Linked DNA regions of Canis lupus familiaris. The protein of the gene in region 1 interacts with the protein of each later gene in a biochemical or structural test. Links are inferred from orthologs where the notes say so. Each region holds a gene or a part of one and is shown on either strand. Other genes may lie near its edges.

The links.
Region 2: the proteins of RBBP8 (region 1) and KLHL15 form a complex in vitro, tested with the Homo sapiens proteins (2 studies listed by BioGRID, with this or other methods). The link is inferred for Canis lupus familiaris from reciprocal best matches to the Homo sapiens genes RBBP8 and KLHL15.
Region 3: the proteins of RBBP8 (region 1) and CTBP1 form a complex in vitro, tested with the Homo sapiens proteins (3 studies listed by BioGRID and IntAct). The link is inferred for Canis lupus familiaris from reciprocal best matches to the Homo sapiens genes RBBP8 and CTBP1.

The regions. Positions count from the first base shown.
Region 1 is NC_049228.1:65,288,160-65,291,812, forward strand, and holds part of RBBP8 (DNA endonuclease RBBP8), read right to left. Parts: intron 1,982-3,653; coding exon 1,893-1,981; intron 369-1,892; coding exon 251-368; intron 1-250. UniProt on the Homo sapiens protein: Endonuclease that cooperates with the MRE11-RAD50-NBN (MRN) complex in DNA-end resection, the first step of double-strand break (DSB) repair through the homologous recombination (HR) pathway.
Region 2 is NC_049260.1:19,701,055-19,704,108, forward strand, and holds the end of KLHL15 (kelch-like protein 15), read right to left. Parts: coding exon 2,517-3,054; 3' UTR 633-2,516; downstream 1-632. UniProt on the Homo sapiens protein: Substrate-specific adapter for CUL3 E3 ubiquitin-protein ligase complex.
Region 3 is NC_049224.1:92,005,597-92,009,141, forward strand, and holds the end of CTBP1 (C-terminal-binding protein 1), read left to right. Parts: intron 1-682; coding exon 683-813; intron 814-1,204; coding exon 1,205-1,332; intron 1,333-1,747; coding exon 1,748-1,865; intron 1,866-2,087; coding exon 2,088-2,274; 3' UTR 2,275-3,029; downstream 3,030-3,545. UniProt on the Homo sapiens protein: Corepressor targeting diverse transcription regulators such as GLIS2 or BCL6. Has dehydrogenase activity. Involved in controlling the equilibrium between tubular and stacked structures in the Golgi complex.

The DNA.
Region 1 (3,653 bases):
AAACTGGCAGCTGGTTGTGGTTTGCTGAGCCCTGGACAATTCGAGTTCTTTCTGGAAAAAAAAGATTTTGGCTAAAGATATTTTCCCCTTGTAATACTGAAACTGAGCTTTACTAAGAGAAATCTATTCATCAGAACAAGAAAAAACCCCTGGTTTATGGTGAAGAGGTCACTTCTGGTCATCAGTGCAATGGTATGACTATAAACTTCCCTCTACATTTTTATTAAATTAAAAAAAAATCAAATCTTACTTGGACTTTTCTCTCCCTTCTGCTCTTGCTTCTTCATTTTTAAAAGCACAGTTTCACTAACCAATGTGCAGTCCATGTCCACTGTCTCTCCTCCTGCTAATCTTGACTGACTGCCATCCTAAATATTTAAAAATTCAAAAATTTTAACAATTATCCCATATGGCCTTATATTTACTTTTTAAAAATTCTGGTAAAATATACACAGCATGAAATTGACCTTTTTTTTTTTTTTTTTTTTACCATATTTTAAGTGTACACTTCAATAGCATTAAGTTATATTTATTTTTATTCTTTAGGAATATATATAGATTTAGGTTTTATTGCCTGTAAAACATTTTAGCTTCAATACACAAGTATCCTCTCTCAAGCCCACAAAAAGAAGGACTGCTGCCAAGGAAGGGAGAGATGCATACCACTGACCTCCCTGGGCTTCTCCTCCCTTTCTTCTCCAGTTGGCTTCACAGTAATGAATGTCAGTGTACACAAAGAACAACAATTTCATACTGTACCAAGTTAAATACTTCATTAATATGCTCCCAAGTGAAAGAGTACTTTTCAAACTATATAAAACCTAAAAACAAGCCAAAAGAGTTATTTCCACTAGGAATTTTATCTTTTTTTTTTTTTTTTTAAGAGCAGGGGAGGGGCAGATGGAGGAGAGAGAGAATCTTAAGCTGGCTCCATGCCCAGCATGAGGCCAATGTGAGGCCTAACTCATGACCCTGAAATTATCACCAGAGCTGAAATCTAGAGTTGGACATTTAACTGAGCACCCAGGAGCCTGGGAATTTTAATTTTTAGAGAAATATACAGTATTTAAAAAATAGCCAACTGGGAAAATAATTTTTTTCTTTATGGTATGTTATTTTAAAAGTTAATCAAGGCATATGATGAATTATTTTGATAAAATATAAAATTATTAAGGGGCCTGTGGCTGGCTCAGTTGATTAAGTGTCTGCCTACTGCTCAGGTCATGATTCCAGGGTCCTGGGATTGAGCCCTGTATCGGGTTCCCTGTTTAGCAGGGAAATCTGCTTGTCCCTCTGCTCCTCCTAGTTTGCGTGCGCGCACTCTCTCTAATAAATAAATAAAATCTTTAAAATATATATGTGTGTGTATAAAATTATTAAAATATGTAATTAGCATTTTTCGTTATTTAATACTATAATATTTTTCAGCAAAGGCCTTTCTTTTTCATTTTTTTTAGGGGGGGGAGAGAGAGAGAGAGAAAGGGAGACAGAGACAGAGACAGAGAGAGAAGAGGGGCAAAGGGAGAGGGAGAGAATCTTAAGTAGGTTCAAAGCCCAGCATGGAGCCTAATGTAGAGCTCAATCTCACAACCCTGAGATCATGACCTGAGCTGAAATCAAGAGTCGGATGCTTAACCTACTGAGCCCCTTGGGTGTCTCAACAAAGGCCTTTAAAGTCAGAAAGTATTATTACCCTTTCAAAAACATCATAAAGTTAGAAGAATAAGCATTTTCATTTCTTAGTTTTCTGAATAAAGAAATGCAGGTTTTATTTGGAATAAATAAATGCAGATATGTGATTATCTTAACGTCACAGAGTTAGTTAGGGGAGAAGGATGACTAACAACTTACTAGAATAACCACATGGGCCTTGGTTTTACTTTCTAACTTACCTTTGTATCTACTACAGTAGTATCCATTTTATATTGAGAGAGGTCTGCTCCTGGATCTATGCTCCACTGGATATTTTCAAAGGATCCATCTTCAATAAGGAGAAAAAAATACAATTAAAATGGAAAAAATGGATTTTAAACATTCTTATCACTTTAAAACCTTATGAGATCCAAAGAATGGGAAAAAAGATTTGCAAATCCTCTATTTGCTAAAGGGGCTGCATCCAGGACATAAAAAGAACTCTCACAACTCAATAATAAGACAAATACCCCAACTGAAAATAAGCAAAGAATCTAAACAGACAATCCTCAAAGAAGATATACAAATGGCCAATAAGCATATGGAAAGACATTCAACAGCATTAGCTGTCAGGAAAAGGCAAATCAAAACCACAATGAGATAACACTTCATACCCAAAGTATGGCTAGAATAAAAAAGATAATAACAAGTATTGGTGAAAATGTAGAAAAATGGGAACTTTAAGTGTTGCTGATGGGAATGTAAAATGACATAGATGCTCTGGAAAACAGTTCCTCAAAAGGTTAAATACAGTTAGCATATGGTCTAACAATTTTACTCCTATATATAACTCAAAAAAGATGAAAATATACATCTACATAAGATTGCACTCAATGTTCTGCTATGAACATTCATAGTAGTGAAAAAATGAAAAGTCACAAAAAATCATATATGATTCCGTTCATATGAAAACACAATAGGCAAATCTATAGAGATAGAGGGTAGGCTAGTTGCCTGGGATTGGGAAAGAGGGAAGAGGAATGCAGAATGATTGCTAATGGGTATTGTTCTTCATGTAGAAAATTCTTTCTTACTCAAGTATAATTAACATCCAGTGTTATATTAGTTTCAGATGTACAATGTGATTCAATAGTTCTATACACTTCTCAGTGCTCATCAAGAAAGCGTACTCTTAATCCCCTTTATCTAGTTCACTGATTCCCACTCCCCCACCTCCCCTCTGGCAACCATCAGTTTGTTCTATGTATTTAAGAGTCTGCTTTAGTTTTGTCTCTTCTGTTTGTTTCTTAAATTCCACATGTAAGGGAAATCATACAGTATCTGTCTTTCTCTATTTCACTTAGCATTATACCCTCTAGGTCCATCCATGTTGTTGTAAATGGCAAGATATTTTTCTTTTCTATGACTCAGTAATATCACACTGTATATACATAACCGCATTTTTGTTTATTCATTGATTTATCTATGGACACTTGGGTTGCTTTCATATCCTGGCTACGGTAAATAATGCTACAATGAAATATGGGGTATATATATCTTTCTGAATTAGTATTCTCTTTTTAAAATTTTTTTAAAATATTTTATTTATTTATTCATGAGAGGCACAGAGAGAGAGAGAGAGAGAGAGAGGCAGAGACACAGGCAGAGGGAGAAGCAGGCTCTGTGCAGGGAGCCCGATGTGGGACTCAATCCCCAGACTCGAGATATGCCCTGAGCCAAAGGCAGATGCTCAACCACCGAGCCACTCAGGCACCCCCTGAATTAGTATTCTCATACACAGTAGTAGAATTATCGGATCATATGGTAATTCTATTTTTAATTTTTTGGAACCTCTACACTGTTTTCCATAGTAGCTGTACCAATCTGCATTCCTTTTTTTTTTTTTTTTAAAGATTTTTATTTATTTATTCATGAGAGATACAGAGAGAGAGAGAGAGAGAATGAGAGAGAGAGAGAGAGAAAAGCAGAGACACAGGCAGAGGGAGAAGCAGGCTCCATGC
Region 2 (3,054 bases), on another chromosome or scaffold:
TAGCACTACATTTAAACAAGATGAGTTTTCTCATACATTCAGAACCCAAGCAATAGCAACTATCCTTAAAGCTCAAAACTGATAACAGCTAACATCAGGTCAGACATGACTTACGTGTGAAGCTGAACCCAGAGTTAGTTTCAAGTTAAGATTTCACAAATTTTCCAAAACACGAACTTTGATCTTGGTCTTTGTGTCTTGAGAAAGGAAGACCAAGAATATTCAACTGTTTGCCCAGATCTTACCCTAACTAGGGCTATGAAGTCATATCTAAACAATTAAAGAGAACCACCACTGGTGTGTGAAAGCGTAAAAGCCTGATAGGGGTACCCTGTCTCGGTCTTTTCCAGCAAAAGACAACAATGAGGAAAATAATGAAGACGTTATTGTTATTTTCTTTAAAGCAAGACAGCACACACACACAAAAACACTAAACCAACTAATAACATTAGAAAAACAATTAAACGGCTAACCTAACTGCTAGTTTTCAAAAGTAAAATGACTAACAAGGATTTTTTAAAGGTAGGAAAAGACTTTTACCCATATTAACCATGGGAAAAAAGGTACTGAATTTTATTTCTAGAAAGTGAAAGTAAATGATAGAACCACTTAATAAAAATTTAAGTCTCATATACAAAAGAGTATCATTAATTTTATTTCTAAAATCAATGCCAATGTTTCTTTTTCTCAAAAACTACTTGTGTACCTGACTGTTTCTCAAATGCCTCCCAGTTCTGGAGTTTTAAAATCAGGTGTTTTTGTCATAGTTGTCTATCTCAATTAACAACAACAACAACAACAACAAAAAACACAAAGCAAAAGTCTTCACATTTCCATTTCCATGACTTCACTCTTCCATTTTGTGTTCAGTGGTGGCAGCAGCAAAAAAAAAAAAAAAAAGAAAAGAAAAGAAAAACTAGAAAATTTATACAACAGCCATAGAAGAAGGCATTGCAATATTGCACCAACATCCTAAGTTCTGGCAAGTTTTGCCAGTGTAGAACTAACTTGTCTGTATCAGATATAGACTCTACTCAGGAGAAAATGGTATCAATTTGAATGATCCACTCCCCAGTTATTCTTGCTTAATTTTGTCAACTATGTGTTTTTCCTTCGAGTTTCAAGAATTGAAAGGTGCGCGGCTAATCCTAAAACACTTATCATAAATGCTTTTAAACAGTTATTCCTGAACCATTCTGAACTTTGAGGTTCCCATCCTTCATGCTAGTAGCTTTCAGTAAATAAAACAAAGGCTGAGGGCTTACATCCCCAGTGCGACTAAGTATTTTGTACTAAATAAACAAGTAGATATGACCAGTAAGATTATAATTCTGTTTCTTACCTCTAAAGTCAAAAATGAGCTCAAATTTTCCACGAGTTGCTACTTTCCATTCAATAACAGATGCAGCAGCCTTACTGAATGTAAAGAATGGGAGTTGCACTTACTTTTAAGGGGCCTTTATTTAGGAGTCTGGTATTACCTAAATTCTCTTTAAAAGTGCTTGCACGCTGCAGGGCCAGGGCTGCGTATACCAGTCCGATTCTCACTAAAAACAGGGTAACGTTATACAGACTGCAAAGAAAAACAATTTCAAAAAGAAGACATACATTGATAAGGAACACTAATGTTTACTTGTGAAAATAAAATATAAAATGTTAGTTTTCAGAAATCCATACATGTTTCAGGAATACAAGGAGCTCAGATATTACTGAATCAGTATGGACTGAAGATAGGCTACTTTGATACCAAATGAGGACTCCAGTTATTTTAACTTTCTAAAAATGTTAATACATGAAAAGACGTTACATCTAAAATTCAACAAGTATGGCAAACTGTGTGTGCAAGTGCACTAGCTTAAAAATATAGAATCCTAACCACGCATAAAAGGAGATGTGCCTTATATGTTCATAAGATGTTTGCAAGTATGGATATGCTTTCACTAACACAATGCAGATAAGAGAAGGCAGCTTAGAAATAGTGTTTTGAATATAAAAAAGTTACTTTTGTAGAAAATTTATATTTTTGCATTTTCAGCAAAAAGCCATGCAAAAAGGTCAAGAGTTTTAACCTTAAATAATAAAACCAAAAGGTCTAACAGACTGTAATACACTGAAATAAACGTTTCAAAAAGATTTCAGGTTGAGATAGGAACCAAAATTACACCCAGTGACACTTATCAGGTCTTCTCTTAGAAGATGCAGGACTCCTACGCTGACATCTGAAAGAAATGTTTTAAAGCATAAAATCAACTTCCCAGATAAGTGGATCACTCTATTCAACTGCTTCTGGAAGTAGTTTCAAGAGCTAGCGCTTAGAATGAACTTATTGCATGAGTTTGAGGCCACTGAAAAGAAAAATAAAATGATGCTAGCACAGAATGAAACATTTTTTACGCTATTAGACCAATGGCTTCGATAGTAAAACTGGTGAGGTTTTTCTTTATGTTTTTTTTAATTAACTACTTTGTCACAAATGAATTTTGTGTTTGGCTTTTTCGAAAGGGAGAAAGACGTCACTAGTTGCAGCGTCTGACCTCGTCCAGTATGTACTCCGGGAAATGCAGGTTGCACACCTGTAAACCATCCAGCTTGCAGGGCATCCGTGGGTACTCATCTTCCTTCCACTTGTTCTCTTCCGGGTCAAAAGTAAGAATGGAATCGCTGTAATGACCGTTGTAGCAAAGGCCTCCAAGAACCATTATCTGTTTGTCCAGCACAGTCACACCATGGCCACTTCTGCCAATTGGCATGGATGCTAAGATGGTCCACTGATCAGTCTCCGGGTTGTACACTTCTGTGGAAGGGCATCCCTGAGATTCAAAAGAGGCCCTCAAGATCACACAGACACCACCGAAGACATAAAGCTTGCCGTTGTAAGAGATCATCTTGTGAAAGCATCTCGCGTAATTCATCTTGCTCTTATTCTCCCAACAGTTGGTAACCACTTGCGTTCTTCTGGTCCGCTGTTCTATGGTCCCTTCTTTACTGGGGTCAAACACGCACACTTGTTTGGAGGTGGAAGATGAGGTGATCCCACCGGTGATGAACAACTTG
Region 3 (3,545 bases), on another chromosome or scaffold:
CAGATGGCGGCTGGCAGCGTCACACCGTGGCTGTGAGGCGTGGCCCTGGGTCAGGCAGGAGCTGGAACTAGCAGTGGCCTCTCATGGGCTCCGGGGTCCCCGGCGGGGGTGTGTGTGTGCCCGCACGGGGTCTGCCCCTGGCCCCTGTGGCCCCGCGGAGGATGAGCCCAGGCACCCGGGGCTCCTCTTTGCCTCCAGTCGGTGGGGTGGGGCTGGGGAGGGCGCAGGCACAGGCGTGGCGCTGGGGCACTGGTCGGAGCCGCGCACCCCCAAGACCCAGGTGTGGGGCTGGGAGCTGCCTGCGTTCCGGGGGGCTCAGGACCGTTGGCCCGAGGACGTGAAGCTGCATGGGGACCGAGCGGGTGCTGCCACCCGAGGGAACAGGGCTCTCTGGCCACTGCACCGAAGACCATGTCTCTGGGTTTTGTGTCCGTCATCCCAGGATCACAGGGTCCTGAACCCACTTCCGCAGCTGTGTGCAGGGGTAGGGGCTTGGGCCACACCGTGTCCCAGAGGCGCCACATCCTTTCCATGGGGGGATGTGCATCTGGGGGGCCGGGCCAGGAGAGCCCACAACTGCAGCCAGGGGTCCTCTGGGCGGGGTGCGGTCCCCAGGCAGGGTGGGCGCAAGCCGAGAGGCCTGTGTGCTGATTCACGTGCTGCTGTTTTTGTGTCCTCCCAGATGCGACAAGGCGCCTTCCTGGTGAACACGGCCCGGGGCGGCCTGGTCGACGAGAAGGCCTTGGCCCAGGCCCTGAAGGAGGGGCGGATCCGGGGTGCCGCCCTGGACGTGCACGAATCTGAGCCCTTCAGGTGCCTCCTGGCAGCGCCCTGGGTGATTCCTGGATGCCACCTCTCCCAAACCCACCCTCGCCCGCGCTCACACCCGCTCGCAGTCTGCAGGCCCCAGGTCCCGTTCTTGGGCTTTGTGTCCAGCCCCACCAGGGCCCAGTGGGCAGGTGGCCAGTCCTGGAGGCGGGATGGCGAGGGCTCGGTCACGCGGTGCCTTGGGGCGCCGAGCCGTGTGGCCGCGTCTGCAGAGGCCTCGACCCAGAAGGGGCAGCGCTCGTCAGCCCTGCCGAGAGGGTCTGGGGCCTGGGCCCCGCAGCTCCAGGGACCAGCGCTCCGTGGCGGGGCCGGGGTGTGGCCACAGGCAGGGTCACGCTCCCTCCGCCCCAGCCTGACCGCTTTGTGCCATTTGTAGCTTTAGCCAGGGTCCCCTGAAGGACGCTCCCAACCTGATCTGCACCCCCCACGCGGCCTGGTACAGCGAGCAGGCGTCCATCGAGATGCGAGAGGAGGCGGCCCGGGAGATCCGGAGGGCCATCACAGGTGAGGTGGCCCCGAGCCTCCCTCAGAGGCCGTGAGATGGACCTGCCCCAGCAGGCGTCCCCCGGGGGGCTCCCCGCACAGCCCTCGAGCCCCCCGAGTCCCCCGAGGGTGTCCCACGCTGCCCACTCACGGTCACCCCGTGCCCTCACCCATGGGCCGGACGGCTGGCTGAGCTGGGGACCTGGGCTGGGCCTTGTCTGCTGCTCCCCGAGGTCCCCAGGGCTGGCAGACGTGGGGGGCCCCTGAGGGGCATCCCCTGGGCTGGGGAGTCTCGGAGCTGCGAGCTGCTATGTCCCGGGAGGAGAGGCGGAGGGGGAGCCCCGCTGCGGAACCGCAGCCCGTGTCTGCCACCGAGCTGCCACAGTGCTGGGGGCAGCCACATGACAGGCCCTTCTCTGTCCACCGTACATGCCAGGCCGCATCCCCGACAGCCTGAAAAACTGTGTCAACAAGGACCACCTGACCGCCGCCACCCACTGGGCCAGCATGGACCCCGGCGTAGTGCACCCTGAGCTCAACGGGGCCGCCTACAGGTGAGCGGGTGTGGAGGGGGCGGGGACACGGGGTCCCCTGGAAACGCGTGCTCGTGTGCGCCCCAGGGGACCAGGGGCCGGGCTGTGGGAGCCAGAGCCACCAGGCGTGAGGCGAAGAGCCCATGGAGCAGCAGGCCGGGGAGGAGTCGAGGCCTGGGGGGGTCCCTGGGCCGAGGCCACGGAAGGGACCCCGCCAGCCTCACGTGCCCTCTGTCCTCCCAGCAGGTACCCGCCGGGCGTGGTGGGCGTGGCCCCCAGCGGCATCCCCACTGCCGTCGAAGGCATCGTCCCCAGCGCCATGTCCCTGTCCCACGGCCTGCCCCCCGTGTCCCACCCGCCCCACGCCCCTTCTCCCGGCCAAACCGTCAAGCCCGAGGCAGATAGAGACCACGCGACCGACCAGTTGTAGCCCGGGCGGAGCTCGACGGCCTCGGCACGGGCAGGGCGGCGCCCTCGGAGCGGCGTGTGCAGAGGCGGCGCCTGCGGTGGCCCCGGCGCTGCAGAGACTGTCCAGGCGCCGGGCGGGGGAGGTGGCGCCGGCCTCCCCGCGTCCGCTGTAGTTGTCCCGTCCCGAGGGCCAGCCGCTGTCCTGTGTCCTTTGCGTCCTCGTTAAGCAAAAGAAGTTAGTAGTTAATTCTATCATGAATGTTCTCGTCTGTGTACAGTCTTTAGAACATTACAGAGGATTTGTTTGCTTAGCTGTCAACAGCAGGAGAGCCTGAGCGAACACTCAGCAGGCCGCGTCACACGGCGCCCCTCGTGTGGGACCGCGCCCCGGAACGAGGCAGTTGGCAAACTTCTCAGGACAACGAATCCTTCCCGTTTTTCTTTCTACGCCACTCAGTGCATTGTTTTTTCTACCTGCTTGTCTTATTTTTAGAATAATTTAGAAAAACAAAACAACGGCTGTTTTTCCTAATTTTGGCATGAATCCCCTTGTTCCAAACAAAGACGGCTTCGCAAAGTGGCTCCAAGAAGTGCGCGTCGCCCACAGCGCGCTCGGCCGTCGGCATCTGTCCTGGGGATGTGAGGGCGCAGCGTCCCGGCCTGCGCGGGTGCCGTCCTGCTGACGTGGTAGGCTAGCAATATTTTGGTTAAAATCATGTTTGTGACTGTAACCATTTGTATGAATTATTTTAAAGAAATAAAAATCCCAGAAAGAGCCGGCAGGCCCAGCGTCTGTTTCGTGGCTTTGCGGCCCCCCGTGGGTCTCTGTCCTGGCCCTGGTGGCCTCGGGGGCTGGAGCGGGCGGCCCTGGGCACCCGGGGCAGTGGTCCTGGGGGGGCCGGAGGCGGCGGGCCGTGTGGGTGCGGGCGGGAGCCGCGCTGTTTGTGGGGACCAGTGCACCCCACCCCCGCCCGCCTGGGGTCACGACCAGAGCGGGTGCCGCGGCCTGTGCAGGAGCGGGCTCCGGGACGCTGCGGGGATGCCGGCTTCACAGGGGTCCCTCCCTCGTGGCCACTCAGGGCTAAACCGGGGTGTCCTGTTCACAGTCCCCTGGACGCCCGTTGCACGCCCGCCCTGCACGGCCCACGGCATAGCTGGCCCGCCTCCTGCCCGCTCTGCGGGGAAAGCACGGTGAACGGTGACCGCTGAGGGGGCTCCTGGGGACACGCCTTGGCGTTGCCACACTCAGGGTCTGCAGGACAGGACTGCGGGTTGGGAGCCGCCGTCCTGCGG